3 linked regions of the Rattus norvegicus genome follow. The protein of the gene in region 3 purifies or fractionates together with the protein of the main gene of each other region. This does not show direct contact. Links are inferred from orthologs where the notes say so. Each region holds a gene or a part of one and is shown on either strand. Other genes may lie near its edges.

What was found.
Region 1: the proteins of Ibtk (region 3) and Rpp25l purify together in Homo sapiens (co-immunoprecipitation; 3 studies listed by BioGRID and IntAct, with this or other methods). This does not show direct contact. The link is inferred for Rattus norvegicus from reciprocal best matches to the Homo sapiens genes IBTK and RPP25L.
Region 2: the proteins of Ibtk (region 3) and Eif4a1 purify together in Homo sapiens (co-immunoprecipitation; 4 studies listed by BioGRID and IntAct, counting the BioPlex papers as one, with this or other methods). This does not show direct contact. The link is inferred for Rattus norvegicus from reciprocal best matches to the Homo sapiens genes IBTK and EIF4A1.

What each region holds. Positions count from the first base shown.
Region 1 is NC_086023.1:61,673,884-61,677,431, reverse strand, and holds Rpp25l (ribonuclease P protein subunit p25-like protein), read left to right. Parts: upstream 1-1,610; 5' UTR 1,611-1,658; exon of another isoform or gene 1,659-1,880; intron 1,881-2,263; 5' UTR 2,264-2,300; coding exon 2,301-2,792; 3' UTR 2,793-3,011; downstream 3,012-3,548. Other genes in the region: Dctn3 (dynactin subunit 3), read left to right, coding at 1-110. UniProt on the Homo sapiens protein: May be a component of ribonuclease P or MRP.
Region 2 is NC_086028.1:54,882,522-54,885,682, reverse strand, and holds the end of Eif4a1 (eukaryotic initiation factor 4A-I), read left to right. Parts: intron 1-254; coding exon 255-423; intron 424-504; exon of another isoform or gene 505-646; intron 647-744; coding exon 745-854; intron 855-944; coding exon 945-1,088; intron 1,089-1,164; coding exon 1,165-1,302; intron 1,303-1,387; coding exon 1,388-1,477; intron 1,478-1,517; exon of another isoform or gene 1,518-1,660; intron 1,661-1,719; coding exon 1,720-1,799; intron 1,800-1,910; coding exon 1,911-2,055; 3' UTR 2,056-2,590; downstream 2,591-3,161. UniProt on the Homo sapiens protein: ATP-dependent RNA helicase which is a subunit of the eIF4F complex involved in cap recognition and is required for mRNA binding to ribosome.
Region 3 is NC_086026.1:95,547,199-95,550,849, reverse strand, and holds part of Ibtk (inhibitor of Bruton tyrosine kinase), read left to right. Parts: coding exon 1-102; intron 103-1,683; coding exon 1,684-1,861; intron 1,862-2,803; coding exon 2,804-3,406; intron 3,407-3,651. UniProt on the Homo sapiens protein: Acts as an inhibitor of BTK tyrosine kinase activity, thereby playing a role in B-cell development. Down-regulates BTK kinase activity, leading to interference with BTK-mediated calcium mobilization and NF-kappa-B-driven transcription.

The sequences.
Region 1 (3,548 bases), on a different chromosome or scaffold from region 3:
TCACCTTGACTTGTCACCAGACAATGCTTCTCTCCAAGCAGTTTGTGCAGTGGGACGAGCTACTCTGCCAGCTAGAGGCTGCCAAGCAAGTGAAGCCAGCAGCAGAATGACAGCTGCTCCCCATGTCCCCACCAGGGGAGGTAGGCAGGCTCCAGGGCCTTCCACCAACCTGTCTTTATAAGGCAGAGACAGCTTTGCCTCTGAATTCAAATACTACCTGTCTGTGTTCAACTGGGGGCTCTGAGGTCAGAGGTCAGCTTTACCTTAGGGTCATGATTTGTACTCCCTGTCAAATGTATTTATTTCAGTGACAATAAACCATAGAGACCACTAAAGCAATGTGTTGGCTTGCTGATACAGGATGGGCTTGGCTGTGAGGATCTGGGTGGTGAAGAGGAGAGCTGCCAACCCCATGGGATGGGACCAGGAGCTATACCCCTGATCTGGTTTGCTGAGAGATAGAGTTCTCTCATCATTTGACTATACAGCGGGGCATTGTATATTTATTTATCTTATATTTGCCAACTACCCTCTAAATATCACATCCTATGGTAAGTAAGGAGGGCATAGGCAGGGACAGCTAATCTCTACACAGGGTTTGGGGAAGACCAGGTAGGCCTGCATGTCAGGTGGTCCTGGAGGAGCAGGAATGGACGTTCAGAGCCAAGGCTGCACTGCCTTGTGTCTACATAATACCAGTAGCCAGAGGAGGAGCCCAAGATGTAAGAAATTTTAGGATCTTGAGAGGAGGAAAATCAGGGTACATTGATGAGAAAACAGGGAGAAACAGTACCGCGCTCCACCCGGTGTATGCTGCCCTCTTGTGGTCTGAGGGAGTGCCTTAGCTCCTTCAACTGCCTGTAGAGTTGCTTCAGCCCAACCTGTAGAGTTGCTGGCATCCAAAATGCAGCGTATCCAAACGGATCTGAAACTGGCAGTCATCCTAAACTATTCTACCCGAATAGTCACCCGCGCGTCCCCAAAACTTCATACAAGTTTCTATCAAGTTTCTACCACCTCTTCTCAATTCTTGCTGTTTCGGTGGTTAACACCTCATTGGACAAATATCGGAGGGCCTATTTTTACCCTGGATACTGGACTAGGCTCTGTGCGCACGCCCCCGTGGCCGAAGCGCTATGATGATGTTGAGTACAGCCCCTTCCCAGGGTCACCAGTATCTGTTGCCCCCACTACCGGATCCGCCATGCTTATAAACCAATCCTCCGTGGCCAATGAGTTATGCACAAGCTATGGCTTAGACCTTACTGAAAACCGCCGGGGTTGATCAGTGTCCCAGGATGAGAACAAAGCTCAGAACTCCGTAACTAAGGGTCTTGCCTGCTTGTACCCACCACGGACGTCGCCTTCGCTGCTGTGCCATCCATCCTTTAAAGGCACAAATCTGCATTCTTCAGGACTCCTCCGATAGCTGTTGCTCTCTCAGGTGGGCCTTCTGCAGGTGCCGGTGTGTACCGCGGACCACTGCGCTGACGCTCGAGGCCGCCCAGGTGACAGCATCAGCTCCTCTGAGTCGAACAGCAACCCGGGTTTCCCTCAGGTCCCGCCCCCTGCGTGCGCGGCCCCGCGGCTCCGCGCGCTCTCGGTCTGCACGCCATCTTGGCTACCCGGTGAGGGTTGAGCGTCTTCTGGCAACGGTGGTAAGAGCCAAATCCCAGGGAGTGGGGACTCAGAGTTAGGGAAAGGGGGATACCTGCTGCCTGGGACAGCGGCCCACGATCGGGGAGTCCGCCAACCGCTCACGAGTGGCCCGAGCAGCTCTCCGGGGAGTCCTCACCCGCGAGTTCCCGAGTGGCCCGGTTCAAGCTAGCCTACTCAGTTAATCTGGGAGTGAGGTCTTCTCTGCCCCCCACACACCGTAGGTGAGACCGATCCTTTCTTTGGGGAGTACTTTGTGAGGGTTCATGGCTGTGCCCCAGGGTCCTTGAAGCCCAGTGAGGAGAACCTGCCTGTTCTTAGAGAGTTGTGGGCCTGGGGTCTGGGACCTAGCCCCGGAGAGCTTGAGATGATGAAGCACAACCCTACCCCAGAGAGCCTAGTTTTTGGGAATTTGTTTTTGTCAATGTTAGAGACTCGTGGATGTATTTAGAAAGGGGTAGATAATTCTCGGCCCCAGCCTTGAAGTGCTGGGGTGAGGGTGTAAAAGCACTCTCCGTGGTGAGGAACAGGACCACATTCTGGAGGGAGTGATGGAGGATGGTCCATGTGATCATGTTCCTGCCACTCATCTGACTCTTTCCCGCAGTGTATATCCAGAGAGTCACCAAAGGCTCGAAAGCAGAATGGAGCACTACCGGAGGGCTGGCTCTGTAGAGCTCCCAGCCTCATCACCAATGCCCCAGCTACCTCCCGACACGCTGGAAATGCGGGTCCGAGATGGGAGCAAAATCCGAAACCTACTAGGGCTGGCACTGGCTCGTTTGGAAGGAGGAAGCACAAGGCACGTGGTGTTCTCAGGCTCCGGCCGGGCCGCTGGAAAGGCCGTCAGCTGTGCAGAGATTGTCAAACGGCGGGTTCCGGGCCTACACCAGCTCACCAAGCTTCGCTTCCTGCAAACTGAGGACAGCTGGGTCCCAACTTCACCGGACACGGGCCTGGACCCCCTCACAGTCCGACGCCATGTGCCTGCAGTGTGGGTACTGCTTAGTCGGGACCCCTTGGACCCCAGTGAATGTGGCTACCAACCCCCAGGTGCACCTCCTGGCCTGGGCTCCATACCTAGTTCCAGCTGTGGTCCCAGACCCCGAAGGAGGGCTCGGGACACCCGGTCCTGACGATCTGCTGGACCTGACTGTACTCTAGACCTGAGTATCTGTGCCTTCTCTAAGAAGTGCTTGTGATTGCTCACCATGCCAGCAGAGTCCACAGAAGAACTTCCCCTCCTCTCTGGAATGAGGGGTGGAACTGTTAAAAGCACTGGTGTGAGCGCAAGGCCCTGGGTTCGGTCCCCAGCTCCGAAAAAAAGAACCAAAAAAAAAAAAAAAAAAAAAAAAGCACTGGTGTGGGTCCGGTCAGTGCTGAGTTAAAGACTGCGTGAGGAGAGCTTACTCTGCCTCTATAGTATGTCTGACTTGCCTTTTCTGACTAGGGAAGGGAAATAAAGGTTGTGCCGCTTTGTTTGGCCTGCGTGTGAGTGGGGCTTGGCTTTATCCCAGGAGCTCCTAGGCTGGAAGCAGGAAGGATACAGAGAGACTGGCAGTGGATGACGGATCTGGTCTCGATGAAAGTTCTAGCAGTAGTAACCTGGATGGCTTCTTGCCGCCTGCTTTAAGCTGGGTTGGGACTCAGCCAGTTGTCCCATCTGTGGCATGCGTATGTTTTAGTGTAGTGGGATCATGAACTCAGCCTTGGCGGTTCAGGGTTTTGATCCTGGTTCTCCTACTCCCAAGTTACTGCTCTGTGGTTTTGGATAAAAGTTCCTTCTCTGGGTCTTAGCGCTCTCATCCAAAAAGTGGGGGGGTGAGGTGCTTACCTCGTTAGAGCTGTGAAGCTTAGAACGAGGTGCACACATCTGCCATTCAGCCTCCACC
Region 2 (3,161 bases), on a different chromosome or scaffold from region 3:
AGTAGGATGTAGTGTGAGTTGTTTGTAGAGCTGGCCTGGTTTTTATGAGGCTGCATGTAGAGTGGGAAACTTACTGTGAACCTGTGTGGACGGATCCAGCATTGCCATTTGGTGGCGGTATTGGTGGTGTTGGAAGAGGATTAAGTGGATTCCTGTTTCTCAGTTGCTAAGAGTGGGATAATTCCTGTCTGTAATAAGAAAGACTTAACTCACTGGTACTGCCCAAGTTAATGTAGATGCCTTTCTACATTTAGATTCAAAAGGTGGTTATGGCACTGGGAGACTACATGGGTGCCTCTTGTCATGCCTGTATTGGGGGCACCAACGTGCGTGCTGAGGTGCAGAAGCTGCAAATGGAAGCTCCCCATATCATCGTGGGCACCCCTGGCCGGGTGTTCGATATGCTTAACCGGAGATACCTGTGTGAGTGCCATGGAACAGTTGTTGGGCTCTTTTCTACATTTCATTTCCTTGGATGAGTTTTCCTTTAGTTGGAATTGAGTTGCTCTGTGATGAACCCCATGCGTGTCATCTGAGCCTGGCTTCCCTGTTAACCTTAGCCCAGGTAGTGTTCTACTTACCAGGGCTTTTGCATGACCTATCAGGGAAGCCGAGGGCAAAGGATCAGTCCTTGCATTCTGAGAGCAGACTGTCTGCCTTCTGCCTGCCTTATCAAGAGACCTCAATATATTTCACATTTGTCTGATTACTATATGTTGGGGTTTTTTTTTTCCTGCCATCTAGCACCCAAATACATCAAGATGTTCGTCCTGGATGAAGCAGATGAAATGCTAAGCCGTGGGTTCAAGGATCAGATCTATGATATATTCCAAAAGCTCAACAGCAACACACAGGTAAAACAGATGGTGTTGGAGGGACGGTGGCTCGGTTGTGATTTGATTGTACAGTGCACTCAATCATGGCTGGGGCATTTTTCCCACTAGGTAGTTTTGCTGTCTGCCACAATGCCTTCTGATGTCCTTGAGGTGACTAAGAAGTTCATGAGAGACCCTATTCGGATTCTTGTCAAGAAGGAAGAGTTGACCCTGGAGGGTATCCGCCAATTCTACATCAATGTGGAACGAGAGGTGGGGCCCAGTGCAGGAGGCGGGCCTGGTAATAAGTGTTGGGTATAGCTCCTGATTGATGTTTCCTGATCTCCAGGAGTGGAAGCTCGACACATTGTGTGACTTGTATGAAACACTGACCATCACCCAGGCAGTAATCTTTATTAATACCAGAAGGAAGGTGGACTGGCTCACTGAGAAGATGCATGCCCGGGATTTCACAGTTTCTGCCATGGTGAGTTTTCTCAGTCTTGTTAATGATAGATGTGTCTTTGTGTGTTAGGAGCCTTATGCTAGCTGCTCCTAACCTTGTTTTCCAGCATGGAGATATGGACCAAAAGGAACGAGACGTGATCATGAGGGAGTTCCGGTCTGGCTCTAGCAGAGTATTAATTACCACTGACCTGTTGGTGAGTAGATGCTCTTTTAAGGAAAGAAAGGGAGAAAATAGCCCAAGGTGATTCCCTCTCCAAAGGGCTGACTATGTGCCCTTTTTAGGAACGTAGCAACTTGGAAGAAAGCCAGGCATGTCCAAGGTCTCTGGGGAACAAGGAATACTTGTTTCCTTTGCCCTCCTTTGGCAGCCTACATATATGCTTACTAAATTAGGGTTGATAGTGTCCTCTGATGGCTTTATTCTTTCTTGACCTAGGCCAGAGGCATTGATGTGCAGCAGGTCTCCCTAGTCATCAATTATGACCTTCCCACCAACAGGGAAAACTACATCCACAGGTATTTACCTGGTCTGACAGATCAAACACTCCCTGTGCTTAAAAAAAAAAAAACACGTTCCTTTCCCCAACCTAACGCCTTTTTAAACTAACCTCCCCCCCCCCCCCCCAGAATTGGTCGAGGTGGTCGGTTTGGCCGGAAAGGTGTGGCTATTAACATGGTGACAGAAGAAGACAAGAGGACTCTTCGAGACATTGAGACTTTCTACAACACCTCCATTGAAGAGATGCCCCTCAACGTTGCTGACCTCATTTGAGGGGCTGTCCTGCTACCTGGCCCTAGCCCAGGGTTCAGTCCTGGGGGCAGGGCTGAGGAACAGCTGGAGGGGGGAGGGAAGGGAGCCAAGGGATGGACATCTTGTTTTTGTTTTTTTGTTTTGTTTTTTTTTTCTCTCTCTCTCTCTCTTTGAATAAATGTCACTTTTTGAGGCAAAAAGAAGGAACCGTGAACATTTTAGACACCCTTTTCTTTGGGGTAGGCTCTGCCCCAGGCGCCGTCTCCTTCCCCCCCAAACACTAATGCATTTCCCTAACCTAATCACCTCATTCCTAAAGGCTTTCCTACCCCAGCCAAATCTCCAAAAGTGAGTCAAGGGGCTAAAACATGGCTGGCCTCATTTGCTGGACCAAATCTACAGGGAGAACCCCCTGAATGAGGTTGTCCAGGGACTTGTCCCCAGGTGAGGGGAGCAGGGGAGAGAAAATGGTAGCCATTTTTACATTGTTTTGTATAGTATTTATTGATTCAGGAAACAAACACAAAATTCTGAATAAAATTACTTGGAAACTGCCTGTTTGGGCTTCTTGTTTCTTCCCTTCCCTCTCCTGCAGTTACTAGTGTGGTTCAGCTGCCCCTGCACTAGTTCTTTCCTGAATTTGCCATGTTGCTTCCTGAAATACCAAATGACCCACACTACTGAAATTTGGTAGTGGGCTTTAGCACAAGACACAAGTGTCACTTGCTCCCAGTTTTGAAAAAGTAGTAATGGGTTCAAAGACTTCAACTGGGTGTTAGTCATAACCCAAATGTGGGTGCTAATTACCTTGGGTTCTGTAGCCCTTGCTGTCCTGCGGTTATATAGGCCAAACTGGCCTTTTGGGTCTGCTTGCTGCCTTACAGTGCTGGGATTGAAGCACATGGGTGAGGGTGAATTTCTTACCAATGAGGAAAAGGCTTCCTGTTTGCCTGCTTTGTAAACTGCCAAGTAGAGCAAGTTTTGGCTTAGGTAAGTTCCGTGTGAGTCAACTGCCTCATCCTCACATGGTAACTAAGACTACCGCCCACTGAGAAGGCCACTACCAATCAGTGCTTAATTGTGAAAACATTTAAATTACTTTAGCGGGTGGCTAGAGCTGAGGTGCC
Region 3 (3,651 bases):
ATATCGCTTTAAATAGAAATGAAATTCTGTTTGTCACACAGGATGGGGAAGGATTTAAAGGGAAATGGTTTGAAGACAAAAGAAAGAATTCTGAAAAGAAAGGTCAGTTAGTATGACTGCACTTAAGTACCCTAGTCAGCCTTCGATGTGTTGGGTACCGCTCTGCTGACCTCTAAGCTGTGTATTTGTCTGTGTGGTTAGTTCAGCGCCTGTTTGCCACAGACTGTAAGGTCACACATGGCACAGGGCATGAGTGTCCCTCTCTGTCATTAGCATTTAATATATTCTTTGGCATTGTGGTCTTTCATTATGTCCTCTCGAGTCACTGAGTCACTTGTTATATGCTTAGAGTATCTTAAGAGCATTTATGACTGCTCATTGTTAGAAACGCTTCAAAATTATAAAGCATGAAATGGGGAGTTTTACATTATATTGATTTGTTGTGTTTTATCTTTTTATAGATGACTCAAGTCTGTAACCTGCAAGGTGTAAAAATATGGGATTGACAGCTTATAGAGCCAAGAGATACCTTTTATGTAGCGTTCCCTGAGACAGATAACTAATATAAGTACTCATGAGTTTCTTAAGAGCAGGGGATGGGAATAGCTGAGAGTTAGAGGAAACATGGTGACGTCCAGGAACCTGGAATAGACTGCCTTTGAGAGTGTAGCCAGAGTGTGGGTCTGTCTTGTAAGAAGACTTGCAAATCTTCAGAGTTTTTGCATCATTCTCTTAGTGGTCTGACACAGAGTCCATGATCTCATGCTTTTCTGTCCTGGTGACTAGCTATCTGTGAGACCCCGTCCCCTTCCCTTACATTTAGCAGGTACCACGTCATGTTACTCCTCTCTTAATTTACTAAAAAATATTTATTAACTTAATTTATGTATATGAGTACACTGTCACTATCTTCAAACATACCAGAACAGGATATTTGATACCATTATAGATGGTTGTGAGCCACCATGTGGTTCCTGGGAATTGAACTCAGGATCTCTGGAAGAGCAACCAGTGCTCTTAACTGCTAAGCCCCATCTTAATTTTTTTTTAATCATTCCTTTTCCCCTCTCCTGATTGATTGTATTAGTCCCAATCTATACCATTTTTTATTATTTCTGTTTACTTAAAGTAATAGTCTTTGTGTTTATTTTCTCATTTAAAATTCTACTGTTGCCAGAATAATTGTTATAGGTGCCATGTCTACATGGAAACATTTCCTACTTTGTTTTTATAGACTGGATCTGACTAGTTATTAGTCATACTTTTATTGCATGTTCTCAATACTCTTCTTAAGGATGGGGACATTTTGTCCTGACTCACAGTAGTGGCACAGTGTGGTCATTTGGGTATTTGCTCAGTGCTTGCAAGAGAATGGAGGGAATGTGTAGTGACACAGAGGTTCATACAGAATTAGTATAGGTAGGCATGCCCGTCTGAAAGTTAACTTCGGCTGCAGTGTGGAAGGTGTATTTGTTGGGAGAAGAAATTATGGCTAATTCTGGAAATTCTCTGTGTAATTACACAGATCGCAATGCTATGTTGAAGATGGAGAGGTTCTAAATTCTTTAGAAGAACTTCATGTGTATGAAAGATACTTTTATATTTTCACATCATTTTTCTATTCTAGTTACTCTAATTTCATTGCAGCCTTGATTAATGATAGTTCGTTTATTTTCTTTTTAGCAGACATTTTACCAAACCTACATCATTCCTCATCAGATGTGTCTTGTGTCTCTGATACAAATAGTGTGTATGAAAGAATTCGACTTGAGAAACTTCCTTTTGCCCATAGAGCTGTTAGTGTCAGCACAGATCCAAGTGGGTGCAACTTTGCAATCCTACAGTCAGACCCTAAAACAAGGTATAATTGTCTTTAATATATTATGTTTTTAGAAGGAATAATCATTAGACCATTTTTTTTTGTTCTTTTCAGTAGCTCCTGATGCATATTTAATTGAGGAGCTGTTATCAAGATCTGTAGAGACCGTCAGCAAATGGATATGGTACAAGAGCAATCAGTGGGGAGAGTGTGTCTTCCCCTTAGTTTATACCTGATTTTGAAAACATTGAAGACAAATGTGTATGCCCACATAGGATCTGTCTTTAGTCCATGCTATACTTGAGGTCTCAGGTTTTAAAGAATGTACTATAAATACTTCTGAGGTAGTGTGTAAAAGTTTCTGACTTTTGAATATGATAATTGACAAGAAAGAGGTCATGTGTATGGTCATGTGTTCTAAGTATACTAGGAGAAAGAGAAGAGCAGCACCAGTGGCATTGTTGAAGAGGGAGGAAGACCTGGATGTTGGGTGACCATCCATCCATTGTGGTTTGCCCAGGTCCCCAATTTAGCACTGAATGTGTCATAAGCTGGGAAACCTCCCAGTCTGAGGCAGAGTAAGGGCATTAATCACTTCCCTTGATAGTGATAGGGAGGGCATACAGCACTCAGGGTTGTAGACTGATCATATATATATATATTCACTTGCATGAGTAACTATGCCTTTTAGTTTTATTTGCTTAGTTTCTGTTATTTTCTCTCACATAAGTTATGTGAGAAAGGAAAAACCTGGGAACTTTTCTTGTTTTTATTGTTTTCAGTTGTTTAACCTTATGCAGACATGAGTAGAAAGATTGATAGAATATTTAACATTTTGGGGTTGATATTCTTGTATTATACCAAATGCCAGAATTGAATGTTTCTAAGTTCAATTTAAGTCAACCATTTCTTTTCAAGAGAATCAGTTTGGGATCCATTTTCTTGTTTTCATCATAGTAGTAATTATCTTTGCTTCATTTCTAGCCTTTATGAAATTCCAGTTGTGTCTTCATCCTCCTTTTTTGAAGAATTTGGCAAGCTCCTGAGGGAGACAGATGAAATGGACAGCTTCCATGACGTGACCTTTCAAGTTGGCAATAGACTCTTCCCTGCACATAAATACGTTCTGGCAGTGCGCTCTGACTTCTTCCAGAAGTTGTTCCTTTCAGATGGCACTCTTTTAGAACTGACAGATGTTTACCGGAAAGACGAAGATGCTGCAGGGTGCCATCTCTTTGTGGTGGAGAAAGTTCATCCTGACTTATTCGAATACCTCTTACAGTTCATGTATACAGATACCTGTGACTTCTTAACGCATGGCTTCAAACCAAGAATGATCATGAACAAAAAGTCAGAAGACTCTAAGGGCTCCCCAGAGTCTCGTCTGCATGCTGTGAATTGCCATGTGGATGATAAGCAGAAGTCAGCATTTGAGGTGTACAGAAGCAACCAGGCTCACACACTTAGTGAAAGGCAGAAGAGCAAACCCAAGTCTTCTAAGAAGGGAAAGGGTGTTGGGGAAGATGATCCTGTAAAGATGTTGCAAAATGTCGCAAAGAAGTTTGGCCTCAGTAATTTGAGTAGCAGGTACAGTTCCTCATCCTGTGCTCCCCAGCTTGCCTCTTTCAGACCTCCTTTGAAGCATGGTTGCTTGTGTTTCCTTTCACTCTCCTGTCTCCAGCTTCCCTTTGCCTCTGGGGTAGCAGTACATGGCTGCGCACCTTTCCCTCACTGCTGTTTTCTGGCAGTTATCACTCAGAGACTCCTTATTTAGATGAAAGAACAGAAAGGTGGCTGCTGGGCTCCAGTGCTGTGCGGGGAGTCTGTAGTGG